Linked DNA regions of Astyanax mexicanus. The protein of the gene in region 2 purifies or fractionates together with the protein of the main gene of each other region. This does not show direct contact. Links are inferred from orthologs where the notes say so. Each region holds a gene or a part of one and is shown on either strand. Other genes may lie near its edges.

Evidence for each region. The genes of interacting proteins can lie anywhere in the genome.
Region 1: the proteins of med16 (region 2) and cdk19 purify together in Homo sapiens (affinity purification with mass spectrometry; 6 studies listed by BioGRID and IntAct, counting the BioPlex papers as one, with this or other methods). This does not show direct contact. The link is inferred for Astyanax mexicanus from reciprocal best matches to the Homo sapiens genes MED16 and CDK19.

The regions. Positions count from the first base shown.
Region 1 is NC_064408.1:47,104,170-47,111,290, forward strand, and holds the start of cdk19 (cyclin-dependent kinase 19), read right to left. Parts: upstream 3,015-7,121; 5' UTR 2,862-3,014; coding exon 2,734-2,861; intron 1-2,733. Other genes in the region: amd1 (S-adenosylmethionine decarboxylase proenzyme), read left to right, coding at 4,232-4,341.
Region 2 is NC_064423.1:18,118,084-18,124,953, forward strand, and holds the start of med16 (mediator of RNA polymerase II transcription subunit 16), read left to right. Parts: upstream 1-3,868; 5' UTR 3,869-4,274; coding exon 4,275-4,413; intron 4,414-5,932; coding exon 5,933-6,040; intron 6,041-6,270; coding exon 6,271-6,440; intron 6,441-6,870. Other genes in the region: tmem259 (membralin), read right to left, coding at 1,039-1,254. UniProt on the Homo sapiens protein: Component of the Mediator complex, a coactivator involved in the regulated transcription of nearly all RNA polymerase II-dependent genes.

The DNA.
Region 1 (7,121 bases), on a different chromosome or scaffold from region 2:
TTTTAAACAACAGTTGTCATTTTAGTCATCGCATACATTTGATCCGAAAGCCTGAAACATCTAGAAACGTGTTTTCACAATGTAGACGATCCACCTTTTCTGGACTGGTCCTTTGGTTGTTCACACCTGATATTTTTGTTTGGACCAAACTGAGAAGTCCAAAAGCCCAGGCCAAACAGGGCAAGTGTGAAAGCACTTTAAGGTCACTTTAAGAAGGACCAAACTGTGATTGCCAGATGATTTGGTCAGAACATCTCCAAAACAGCAGGTAGACCTTGTGGATTGTTGCCAGCAGGAAGTGGTCAGCACCTACCATATGTGCTCTAAGGAAGGACAATCAGTGAACCAAGGACTAAAAAGAGATCCTGCTAATGTTAGTCTTTGTGCTAAACACCTTGGTGCAGAACACCTACAGAGGTCTTGTACAGTGAATGCTCTTATGGGTCAGACATGTTTTTAGAGGAATGATGGGGGGCCTACACAATATTAAACAGGTGCTTTTAATTATATGACCAATTGATGTATATCAGAATCATTGGAATTTTCAGATTTTGATATGTCTGAATGTTTGTAAACACTGTTTCTAAATAATGCATCCTTTGCCGTCACAGCAAATGCAGACACAGTCTAGTCCATGTAAAGAACTACTGCCAATGGAATAGGACTGTTTATCTGGAGCCGATAAAAATGAACCTGTTGGCATCATGTCATATCATGTCAAGTGTGAGCTCATCTCCATATAGTACTTTAAGGATGAGGTGGGGAGCTGTGGATGGAGTAGACTGGTGATCATCCAACCTCAGGTCAATACTGCTCTTGCTGCTGAATGCACTCCAAAATTTAGTAGATAGCTTTCCCTGCACAGTAGAGACAATTACTCCAAAAAACGCTAAATTTAATTTTAGAAGAAACAATAAAGTAGCAGGTGTCCCAATACTTTTGTCCATATAGTGCATTTACATGAAATATAGCAGATAACTTTATCAGCCTTAGACATCTCAGTGTATGTATTATTATTTTTAGATGTTTAATATGATGATATTTAAACAGAAACTAGCTGTCTGTTTAAATAACATAAATCTGAGAGTCTAAGAGAGAGAAAAGAACATCTTCAGAGGGGGTTTACAATTAATGGGCTTCTAATGTTAGTTTTTAAAATGTTGCATTTATTTGGAATCTGCTTTGTACACATTATGGTTATAATTAGTTAAGTAACATGTAATTACTATCTGAGTTTCATTTAACTAGGTTTATGTTACACTAGTGTCATCACCAGAATGGCTGTGTGGTTAGTAGGTACATCTCTGACAGTAGATACACCTTCCCTGCACAAAAGAGAGAATGTTACTTCAGCAAAAGCTAGAATAACTCTTTTAAATACCCATGATTTTGGAAGAAACAATAAATAATTGAATGCTTGATTCAATATAATGTGTTTTCTTGAGTATGTGTATTGGACACTCTAAAACTGTACAAAAGAGGTTTTCAAACTTTTCCACATCACGACCCACCTGTGTAAAAAGCATAACTACCCACAAGATAACAAAACAAAAGCTTTTTGACAATCTCTCTATAGATGTTCTGAACAGGTCATCTAGCCATCACAGCTCAGTCCTTCTTAAAGTGACTTGCCAGTTTGGTCCAAACAAAAATAGCAGATTTAAGGAACCAAAGGACCCGCAAAAAAGGTAGTCTTGGTCCAGATCTACTAAACCATGGCCCAGTTCATCTTGAATTGTAAATCTTTTTGAACCTCTCTACAAGGGTTTGGTAGGTCACCCCTGAACTAGACAGTATTATGATCCATTTAGCTATTCCAGTGAATACTGAATGACAGCATCTGGACACATCAGTAGTTATAACATGTTCTAACACTGCTGCTGAGTTTAGACTTCTAACAGTAACAATGAAACTTCTCTCTCCAGCCTGTAGTTATATTACAATCAGATAATTCCTGACTAAGGCGCTGTCACTATGATCAGGAGATTGCTGGTTCGAATCCTGTTTATGCAGCTTGCTATCGGCTACCGGAGCCCTGAGAGAGCACAACTGACCTTGCTCTCTCTGGGTGGGTATTTGCACTTTCTCCCCACATCACTTCAAGGGGTGATGTCCGCAGCACAAGGCGTCTTTGAGATGATGTATCGGACAAAAATAGAAATAAAATTTAAAAATTAAAAAATCAGATAATTCCGGTCACACTTTAAAGACGTTAAGTCCTGCTTTTGACACCAAGACTGGTGCTTTTTCTTATTTCTTACTAAAGCAGCTCGAGTATTGCACATTTAGACAAGTGATAACTCAAAGCCTGAGCCTGAGACTGTCCAATAAGAGCGAGGCAGGGATCACTCCTATTGGACAGCCTTGTGAGGCATGAATGCTCCAACTCCAGAGTAAAACCCTGCGTTGTAAAACAGCTTCACGTGCAGAGAGACAGTCATCCCCTCTGAGCTGTAGTGTATTTCACTTCACGTTCACACTGTAAAATAAACAGCAGCAGCGCGGTGTCGTTCTGGGGGGAGGACCGTTTTGTGTGTGTGTGTTTATAGATGTGCGTGCGCGCGCGCGTGTGTGTGTATAAAAACAAAACCAGTCCCAGACTCGAGCTCGGTTTCTTACACCCCCCACCACACACACACACACACTCGCCTCCGCGCTTCTCCTCGCGAAGGAGAAAGTGCGCGTGGAGCGGAGAAATGAGTGAAAGCAGGCCGTTTTAGCTCGCTGTCTTACCCGTCTTTGCGCTTGGCTTTATAAACATGCCCGTAGGTGCCGCGACCCACTTTGCAACCTTCATATTCGAACAGATCCTCCACTCTCTCCCTCTCCGCGGCGAGCTTCGTTTTGAAGTCGTAGTCCATCGCGACCCATAAATACTTCTTAATTTAGGATAAAATAAAATATTAATTATTACGTGCATTAATTAAATAATCTGATCGCTTTATTCCCCCACCATTTCCTTGTTTGGGATTTTGGTCTGCTCCGCTTAATGTTCACTGGCTCGTTGAGCGTTTTTTTGCTGGTGCGAAACGCTTTCTGGGAAATGTAGTCTTCCCGCAGCAGGAGGCCCGCCGAGCGCCGTGAGATCAGCGCGCTGCGGGAACTACAATCCGCACAGCACGCCGCGGTGATCGCACTTGCGTAGTCATGTTCGCGCTCTCAGAAAAAAAAAACATTGCAGGGACGGGAGAGAATTCATATTGCATATCGTATGTTTTATTTGTTTTTTTGCTCACATGCGCCGAACCCTTAAACTGAGACAATAAAACTAAGACAATGGAATGGAAACCATTCCCTATAATGCTATTTAATGTGATAAAAAAAACTGTTCAGCCACTCTTTGCAGTAAAACTACACAAAAGACTGTATTTATATATGACTGTCATAACATTATAAATAAGAATTTTCGAGTTTACCCAGGGGAATTATATTGCGCATTTTTTGTAAATAAAAAATGCCTTTTCTGGATTTACATTCCCTTTTTTCTGTGTCTACGTGAAAAACAGTCTTGTGTTTGTGTTTTAAACTGTCCTTTTACTCTTATCAACGCTGCTTGCCTTTTTTATGCGTCTGCATCACTCGAAATGATTCCCATGATTCTTTTGTAGGATATGCGCAGTATTTATGTGTGTGTAATATAACCTAAGGTTAGGACAATACAAAAATACCTTTAATACTTTTTAAGCTAGAATTGGACTGCTAAAATTGTGCCGTATTAATTGAAGTACGTTAAAATCAACTGAATCGGTTCTTTTGAGTGGACTGTTTTGTTGAATCGGTTAACTACTTCACTGAATCAAACTTCTTCACTGCGCTGTCAGAACTGCAGCCCGCCTTGAGAAGACGCCTTTACGCAACGCTTGTCCTCGGAGTGGCAGAAACCTTGGCCAATCCTATGCGGGCTAAGGGCGGGACTTTATGTATGATTGGTCTGTCTTATTTTTTACGTCAGCGGCTAGGTTATAAAAGCTCCGCGCACCCAGTAGTCCGCGCTTACACAGTATGGCCGGCGATATTAGCTAGCACTCGCTCACGGTGTTCTCTGTAAAAGGGGAAGACGGTAAAAATCATTTAAAGCATCCCAAGAAATCAACACCCGGACTGCTCAAGGACTGTACCAAGATCTCTATAAGTTATCTACCCAGCAAAAAGGACTTTAATAAGCTAGACCCGAGCTAGGTTTATTTTTTTTTATTTTTTTTTCTGTTGTTGGTGTCTTGTTTGTCTCACGATGGAGGACAACGGTGCACACTTCTTTGAGGGGACCGAGAAGCTGCTGGAGGTGTGGTTCTCCCGGCAGGACGAGACCAAAGGAACCGGGGACCTCCGCACCATCCCGAGGTTTGGGGGCGAATTCTCTAAAGCGAGATGTGTGGATGAAGCTAGATAACCAGATAGATCTGTGGGTTAGCTGAGGAGCTGGGTTAATGCTCTAGGCTTTGGCACGCGTGTCAGTCAGCTCATATAAAATAGACATAAAACTGAACAGTATGATTCTGTTAAAAGGTTGGTTTGGTGATTTAGATGATCAGATAGCTGGCTAACTTGTGCGTATCTCTCTGTGTCTCTCTGCTGTGGCTCAGTATGGCAGCGTCCCTCCCCCTCCCTCCAGTCAGTCAGTCAGTCACTCATTCATTTGTGCTGCAGTAACGACGGAGCAAATAGCTCCAGCCCTGATCAGCTCAGCCTCGCTTTAATCAGCGCTCTGATCTGATCACTGATACCCTAAACTACTAAAGAGTAGTCTGTGCTGGTTTTATAACTATCTTCTTATAACTATCTTCAATGACAATGAAAAAAAAATGTTAGCTAAGCTCGCTACGGCTCTCATTTCACTACGCAGTTCTATCCGAACCTCCCCTTTAACACGGGTTTGGCCTTATTTATCCTAATTTAATTACAAAATTCTAAATGTAAAAAAATGCCAGATCAACGTACATAGCTAAGTTTGTCTAGCTACCCTGGAAATTGTGCGGTTGCTAGGTTAGTTAGCTAGCGACAAGCTAACGCTAATACAGTATGGCGCGAGCCATTAGCGTTAGCCACCAGGCTAACTAGCTGCTCTGTTTGCACTGACGTAGCTAAGCTAAGCGAGCTAACCTAACCTGCACCCAATACTCTTAACAGGCAGCATAACTACAACACATGCTCCATTTGTCTCTCTAGAGGTTTATCATCAGAAAAATAACGCAGAGGAGTTTTATATTTAGAGGGGTGAAGAGGTGCTGCGCTCCATAATCTGTGTTGAGTGAAACGTGGGCCCTGTGGAGCATGTGGTGGTGGTGGTGGCGCCCTGCTGCCTCGGCTGAAGCCCCCCCAGTTTTAGTCTCAAATGACAGACTCTGACACTCAGATATTAACTCAGACATGTTAAAACATGTAATAAAGAACATTTAGGTATTTTATGTCGTTTTTTACTAGAAGCGACTCTATTACAGAGATAAGCTATGGAATGTTAAACATTAAAAATTAGCTAGTAATTTAATTCTGACTAGGCATGTTCTACCATCCGTTTCGAACTAAAATTTCACTCTTTTAGTAGTTAGAAGAGAAGTTACAATTATATGTAATTACTCATTGGCTGGTAAGAGTTGTAATTCCAGATATCTCCACTGTAGGTAAATTCTGTCTGGTAAAAAAGTCCAGGTTCACATATTTGTAAATTTATTCTGACTAGAACAAATGCTAATTCAAAATATATATAATGTTTTGGCTAGAACTGTATTTCAGATATGTGTTTAAATCTCTATAATATAAATAGATAAATATGTACTAATTAAAAAATTTACTTGTACTATAATAAATTTAATGTTATTGATGTTAAAATCTATAGTTTTGCTATTTCAGACAGAGTGCAATTTCATGCAAGTTAATTGTAACATATGACCAGTCAAATTTACACTCGGGGTATGTCATCTTGGCAAAATGGCTACTCAGAATGGCCTCAGATCTGGAGACCTGATGTTACTGCTAAAAAAAATAGCAGATAAAACTTGCAATAAAGACGTATGCAATTTAAGGTTTTACCAGTAAAAAATGAATTACAACTAGCACAATACAAAAGCAAAACAGACGCATAAAAAGTGACAAACATTACGTAGCAAAAGATAATCTGAAATGTATTACAGAGAGTTAAAGAAGTGCTGGGGTGAAAAAGAACTGGAGAGACACTGCCGCAGTGCCAACCTGTCACACAGACGATTTACAGCACCTGCAGTAGCCTGGCTAATACCCAAGAGTTGAGAGAATGCTTTCCAAATGAATGAAACTCACCTTAAAATGAGTGTTAAAACTGTAAGACGGATCTCAAAATGTGTGTTAATGTCATATATTGCTCATAGAGCTTCTAATCATTTCAGTACAAATAGTGTATAGTCATATAGAGCCACGATCAAGGCTCAACCGACCTGAATGTTTGTCGAGTTATATTCTTTACCCTTTGTAAATGTCTGTTTGGGGTTAAATTGAAAAATATGTTTAAAAAATGTTTTTTATACAATGATAAAACATCTGAATCTTAAAATGTGCATTTGCAGTGTGCAATGTCATTTCACACAGAAGTGAAGTATGTAACATTAGGTGCTTACAAAATAGTTTCTCAGAAGGAGCTTTAAAGAAAGTCAGTTTCACAGAATAATATGATTGAGCAAGCTTGAGTTTTTCTTTGATCTAGGTTAACTTAGCTTTACTTGTTTGTCTTTATATTTTTAGCTTTATCTGCTTTTTCCAGTGGTTCCTGACTGCTTGTTTTTAGACTCTAGTGTTTTCTGTTCTGTCAAAGCCTTTATTCAGTGTAACAAGTTTTCCTTGAGGCTAAAATTATGTTTTGATTGGTGTAGAGACTAAATATTGTGCAGTGTGTAACTGCTCTAGGACCAGGGTTTGGAAATACAATGCACTGCGCCATGTGGAAGTCACGTTTTTCCCCTTGTGCCGAGCAAACTCCTCCTTGTGGCCTGATTGGAGGAGCGTGACCTCCAGCTGTGCTCTGACCTCTAAAGACCTGCCCCCTATTCAACAGCATGAAATGTGGTTGTAGGCATGGAGGTGCTGATTCATCTTGTAACGAGCGGAGTTTAGCTGCTGTGGTTCTTGCTGAAATTAGTTTTTGAAATTAGAAA
Region 2 (6,870 bases):
CCCCTGGACCCCTTTGGAACAGGGCTATAGTTGGCAATGGTATCATCAGGGATTAAAACCTGCAATCTCCTGATTAAACGGCCAGAACTTAAGTCCCTTTACTCAGGAGCTCTCTAGAAAAAGCAGCTCAAAACTGTCACAGGGTGATACCAACAAGCGTTTTTGTTGATTTTTAGTTTACTACAAAACATGAATACACAAACTGTCCCTTATACTGTGTGAAAATTTCTTGATGGATGGACCAAAAGAAATTCTTCTTTATTGCCTGAAATTAACTCTTTTCAAACTAACTTCCATTGAAAGTTGGAAAGGTGGTTTCATATCTCTCTTGTAAAATACTAGTTTTTCATTGGATAGCACTCTGTACAATAGTTCTGTCTATTTCTGACAGTGTACCATGTTTACCTCTGTGGCTTTCCTCACCTATAGGCAGGTTTTACACATACAATTTCTATTTGAGCAGAGATAAGTGTTGACTTCTGATTTGCAGCCAACATTTTAACATGACAGGTCCTGTTTTGACTAATAGTCAGTAAAAACATTATTATCTATATAGTTAACATACAGTTTTGCATGGGTTAATTGGCCAATATTGCAGATTTGAATGTAGCAGTCACAGAATACGTGTTTTAAAATATGTTATTGTGCCATCTCAATCCAGATCAATCTGTTAAGGCACACCAACATTTAACCTTTATTCATAATATGAAAGCCTGGCGTGTCCTCTATGTCTAATTACAGAATTACAGAGTGTATCTGTGGTCAAGTTACACTGTGACTTTCATAGAAGAGTGAGGGGCAGCTTCTCAAACAGGGATAAAGCCTAGTTATAGATTATACTTAAATGGAATATCTCAATTCAAGATGTCAAAGAAGGCTTAAACTGCTAATTTATAACCAGAAGTAGGCCTGAACTTGGATTAGCTAAGGTAGCATTCTCAGTATATACTGTATATATAGTGTTCTCACTGTAGCTAAAATGCTCAACAAATATGGGCTCAGGTCCAAAAGGGTACGGGGTAAACAAATGACACGTACCTTCAGAAGCACGAAGAACTCGAAAATCCTCCGAAAGGACGGTGGGAATAGCCTGGCATAGGTGACTGCCATCTTAAAGAAGAGGGCATGAAAGAGGCGGTCCCGCACGTTGATGAGGGGGTTCTGGTTGATGTTCGGGTTGCGGATTCGGTTCGGACCGCCATTGTTGTTCAACGGCACGTTGTTGTTGTTTAGGTTTCCCTGGTTGTCTGACATGTCTAACGCCAGTCCCACGAGTTTAGTGCGAAAATTTGATGGCCATGTAGGTCAGACAGGGAGCGACATACGCAGATACTGATAATTAACAGTACTGCCACTTAACCTAGTTAACTAATGCTAGCTAGCTACCTAACTAACAAATTAACGTGGGTGGCTGTAATTAGCTAACCTGGGTTTGCTAGTTAACTGAGAAACATTAGCTATCTTAGTGTGGTTATTTAGCGCTAGTCTGCTAGCTTGTGCACTACAGTCTGTGCATGTACTTTAACTAACGTTATAAACTGCACCAAATTTCTTAATAATCCAGCCTACGTCGTTTGACTGAGCTAGCCCTAGTTATCTTGGATATGTGTGTCTCATGACATCGCTACGAGTTTGCTGGCTTGTAAAAACAAGCTCAGTTAGCATTAGCTAACCTAGCTACCGCTAACTACTGAATGGGGGCATGTCACACTCCGTAGACGTTGTTTTTTTAGTCTTCTTCTGTTTTTATTTCGGTCTATCCTTAGCTAAATAGCTTTGTCAGCCTTAATAAGATGAACAACACCGAACTAGCGTTAGCTAGCTTAGCATACGTGCTAGCTAGCGCTAAGTAAACTGTACCTGGCCCTACTACTCTACTAACCCAACTAACCAGGCGTTAGCTAGCTACGCTAGCTACAACCTCGCTAGCTCACGTTTGCTCCATTTACCACTAAGCTAACTATCTTAGCTAAGCTAACTGATTTAAATACTCCAGGTCAATTAACAGAGTCTGTCAGTGTTGCTGAAATGTAGCTAAATTAAAAAGAGCTAACTAAACTCGATGCCACTTGCTAGCATAGCCCGCTAGCCTGTTGCTTATTAAACTAGCAGCTAACCTAGCTAGCTAGGCTAAACTACAGTTCAGTCTGACGTACAGCTAGCTGCACACAGAGGCCGTATGATCTGCTGCTCCTCAGATCAGCTTCTCTATTAAACACAGATCCTGACACTCACTCTCCCTCTACCGCACACGGAACCGTAACGACGCTAAATACAATCCCACGGGATTCCTCTCCGACAGAAGCTGCCAAGAACTTGTATCCTCTCGCTGTGGTCCCCCTGTTTACACGACCCTTTTCTAATCAAGGCGTACTTGGGTACTTCAGGAGTGACGAGAGCGAAGAAAGTGAGCGGTTGGCAAAGACAGTCATGCCGATGTGTTAGACCCGGACTCAGCGGCTGATCTCAGATACAGCGCCACCTCTACGCGGGACGACTACAAACACACCTGTGGCAAAATCGCCTAGATCCTCAGTTAATCAATTTGATTCTACCCTTTTAAAACAATGGTCTGTGTCAAGAGCATGAATTATTAAGGTAATTTATTATGCGTCAAGTCAAAACAAAATGTGACGTTAATTTTAATAGCCGTCCTTCACTGAACTAATTTCCACAGTTCAGGGCTTGTCCCCAGTTTGGTAATTAAATTAAATTAAATTATATTGATATAGCGCTTTTTACAACATTTGTAAAACCACACACAGTGCACCACAGTGATGCCAACAGTAACAAGGAAAACCCCCCTCATACTAAGTGGAAGACACTTTAGGATAACATGGTAGGCTAAGATGTTTATTAGATTTTTACTATAATATACAGTTTACTTCGTTTTAATAAAGACTTTGGGCTATAAATATTGCATAGATGTTTACATTTATTTTTTAATTTTATTTTTTATGATTTTAGTACGGTCAACACATTTATTAGTTGCATTGTTACCATGTTATTACAATTGAGTTATTATAATGATTTAATTACTATTCTCGTGTGACTTAATAACAATGTAGTTAAATCTTTATATTGAATAGAGAACAAAATGAAAATTAAAATATATCACAAAAGTTAATTAAAGGAGTAGAAACCTAATTTTAAACAACTATATAATGTCAATGGATAAATACATAAAATGTTTACCAAAAATTAGACATATAGAATTGCACCAAATAAATGACATTTATTTCAGACCTTTAGTAACACTTAATACAGCCCACAATTTAGTGTGTAAATGTGTAAGTTCAAATAACTTATGAGTACATACAAGATACAAAAATAAAGTTAGGGAGGTAAATAAAAAAAATACACCACATGTTTTGGGAAATTGTTATTTTCTTGTTATTGGTTGGGCTTTTTTGTTGTTGTACATGCATTTAAGTACCAATAAGAACCGGCACGTATTTTATATGTGTAACGGGCTTCTTAGTGTTACACATGTATAGGCTCATACAGGGATTATACCATACATTTTGGTAATTACATACTAAATGTCGGAAAATTGCCCAATTGTTCCACTATTGCTACTGTATTTTATATGTGCTGGTTCGTACTCGGGTCCTACTCTCTGGTTCCTGGTTATCCTCATTACTTTATTCGTAGCTACATTTAAGTAGCAGTAAGACAGACCTTGTAAATATTTTGTAAATACTGGTTCATACAGAGAAGTTACGGGACATTTTATTAAGTGTTACCATATATTTTATGACATAGATTATATTTAGTTAGCTAGTTAGTCTGTTAGCTTAGTTAGCTAACAGTTAGTGTTTCTGTTTATGGTTAGGGTCGTTACACTCCTGGCCGGTAACGGCGCTCTGACAGGTCAGTGCTGGGCGGAGCGCAGCGCTGCAGAGGAAGACTCATACACACAGCAACAGCGCTGTAGTTCACTGTATAATCTCCATACACAGAAACTTTATTTTAGTTTAACTGTGTTGTTTCAGAACCGTGTGGATTGTACATATTTTTTCTAAATACGTCGCTTTTTCCCCCTCATTTGTATCAAATTTGGTGAGATTTTGCGCTTTGTTATGACGAACTGGTTAGCTAAATAAGCTAACAAGCTAGCGTTAGCTGGCTAGCTAACAAGCTAGCATTAGCTGCTAGCTAACGCCGGGCAGTAGAGTCTATTGAATGGCTCTCTGTTCACTTGAGCGTTTGTATGAAACCCGGAGACATTGGAGGAGTATATCTATCTTAGTTAAATCGTTAATGTATTAATAATGGAGGTTGTGTATGTGTGCGAGTGGGAGAAGAGACCCAAAAACAACCACTGCCCCTCCATCCCGCTGGTGTGTGCCTGGTCCTGCAGAAACCTCATCGCCTTCACAACAGACCTGAAAAATGAAGAGGACGATAAAGGTAAGAGGAGTCCTTATACTAGTGCTCTCTGTTATCCTCTGTCTAATATAAAGTGTAGTTAGTTATATTAGGTTATATTCTACACTTTATTCATTTATGTCTATGAATTTTAGCCAGTGTACAGAACTTAAGCCTAACACTATGTTTGTGTCTACCACTTTTAGTTAGCTATGCATATTTCAGATCCACTGAACATACTACTGCATTTCAGAAAAATAAAATATCATTAAAAAGTTGCCTTATTTCAGTAGTTCAGTTCAAAATGTAAAATTCATATACAGCTCTGGAAAAAATTGAGAACACTTTCTTTGATTTTACCAAATTGAAATCCTCATAAAGCTATTCAAAAGCACTGTGTAAGACTGGTGGAGGAAAACATGCCAAGATGCACGAAAACTTTGATTAAAAAGCAGGGTTATTATTTTTATTTTAACCATTTCTCATTTTCTGCAAATAAATGCTGTAAATGACAATATTTCTATTTAGGAATTTGGGAGAAATGTTGTCCGTAGTTTATAGAATAAAACAACAATGTTCATTTTGCTCAAACATATACCTATAAATAGTAAAATCAGAGAAACTGAAGTGGTCTTTTAATTATTTCCAAAGCTGTATTATATAAATGTTTTATACACAGTAATCTATTATCTATAGTTGAAGATGATGACAAAAATCAGTATCTCAGAAAATCAGAATATTATATAAGACCGATTGGTACTTGTGGCGGTGTGGGCAGTGTGCCGAATTCTGCTGCAAAATGAAATCTGCATCTCTAGGAATCATTAAGTGCTGTAAGATTTTCCGGGAAAACATTGCACTGATTTTGGATTTGATTTAACACAGTGGACCAAAACCAGCAGATGACATGACTATCCAAACCATCACTGATTGTGGGAACTTCACACTAGACCTCAAGCAGCTTGGACTGTGTGCCTCTCCACTCTTCCTACCGATTCTGATTCCTTGAGTTCTCTGATCCCTTGATTATTTATAGCAATATTTTGAGCATACACACAATTGTGCTGCACATAATCCAGTTAAACATTACTGATTAAACTCTCTGTAATGTAATAGTGATGCTCATCAGTGTTCTTTTAGCAGTAATGTCATCCAAATATGCTTCGATATCACAAAAATTGAACACAATGCAATACAATGTAGAAAGAAGCCCTCTTCTATTGCACATACAGATGTTACATATTTTATAATATGCAATAGTATTGTGTTATTTGTATTAGTTGCTATTTACTGGAAAGATTTATGGGTTGTTTTTGTTTAATTGTTTTGCACTTTATATGCATGCACTAAATATTCCACACTTTGGTATTGCGCTAGATTTGTTGCTAAATTTTTTTGTTGTTACATTGCTTATTTTGTTATATATTTTTTGTACGAAACCTGAGACTTCATCATTTATTGGTTTGCTCTGTTGAAGCTGTTTTCTTTTGTGTATCATGGATATATATTTTTTCCCCTTAGTGCAGTCTAAGTGTTTAACATAGTACATTTTTTGCTTTAGAACTCAGTCACATGATTCATATCATTGACACTGAACACCCCTGGGATGTCTACTCCATCAACTCGGGTCATAGGGAAGTTATTTCGTGCTTGGAGTGGGACCAGTCAGGTAAGTTAACCTCACTGTTTAAAATTTAATTGTAAAACGGCCAATATTTTTGCATTCTCTCATATATACATTTTTTTCTAAATGATCTAATATTGCAAAAGATTAGCACTGTGTGCCCTGATAGGTGAAATTTTAGGACAAAGAGTATTGTAATGATGTTCACTCATTTTAGGGCTGCAGTATATTCATATCTAATTTTTGCCTTCATTCATTAAATTGTGTGTAACTAGGATCCAGACTGCTCTCTGCTGATGGGGACGGAGAGATCAAGTGTTGGGCAATGAAGGAACACCTTGTGAACAGCTGGGAAAGTATACAGAGCAGCTCTGTTGATGGAGACCCTATTGTAGCTCTCTCATGGTTGCACAATGGGGTCAAACTTGCACTGCATGTGGAGAAGGTAAGAGCAAGAAATTTACCCACATTTTTTAGTATATATTTTAGTATAAGGCACACTTAAAGTTCTTTAATTAAAAAAAAAAATGTCAGTGCACCTTATGTATGAATTCTACCAGTCAGGTTGTAAAGAGCAGTAAAGCCACTCCGCTAAAGTACAGCATTATAGTTTAGTTTTATAGTTTAGTTCTCCAGCATCTGAACTCTTTAAACTTTATGAATATGAACTAAAGGCTCTGCCTCTTTTTTATTATCTCAGCCATTTCTCATTTTCTGCAAATAAATGCTCTAAATGACAATATTTTTATTTGGAATTTGGGAGAAATGTTGTCTGTAGTTTATAGAATAAAACAACAATGTTCATTTTACTCAAGCATATTCCTATAAATAGCAAAATCGGAGAAACTGATTCAGAAACTGAAGTGGTCTCTTAT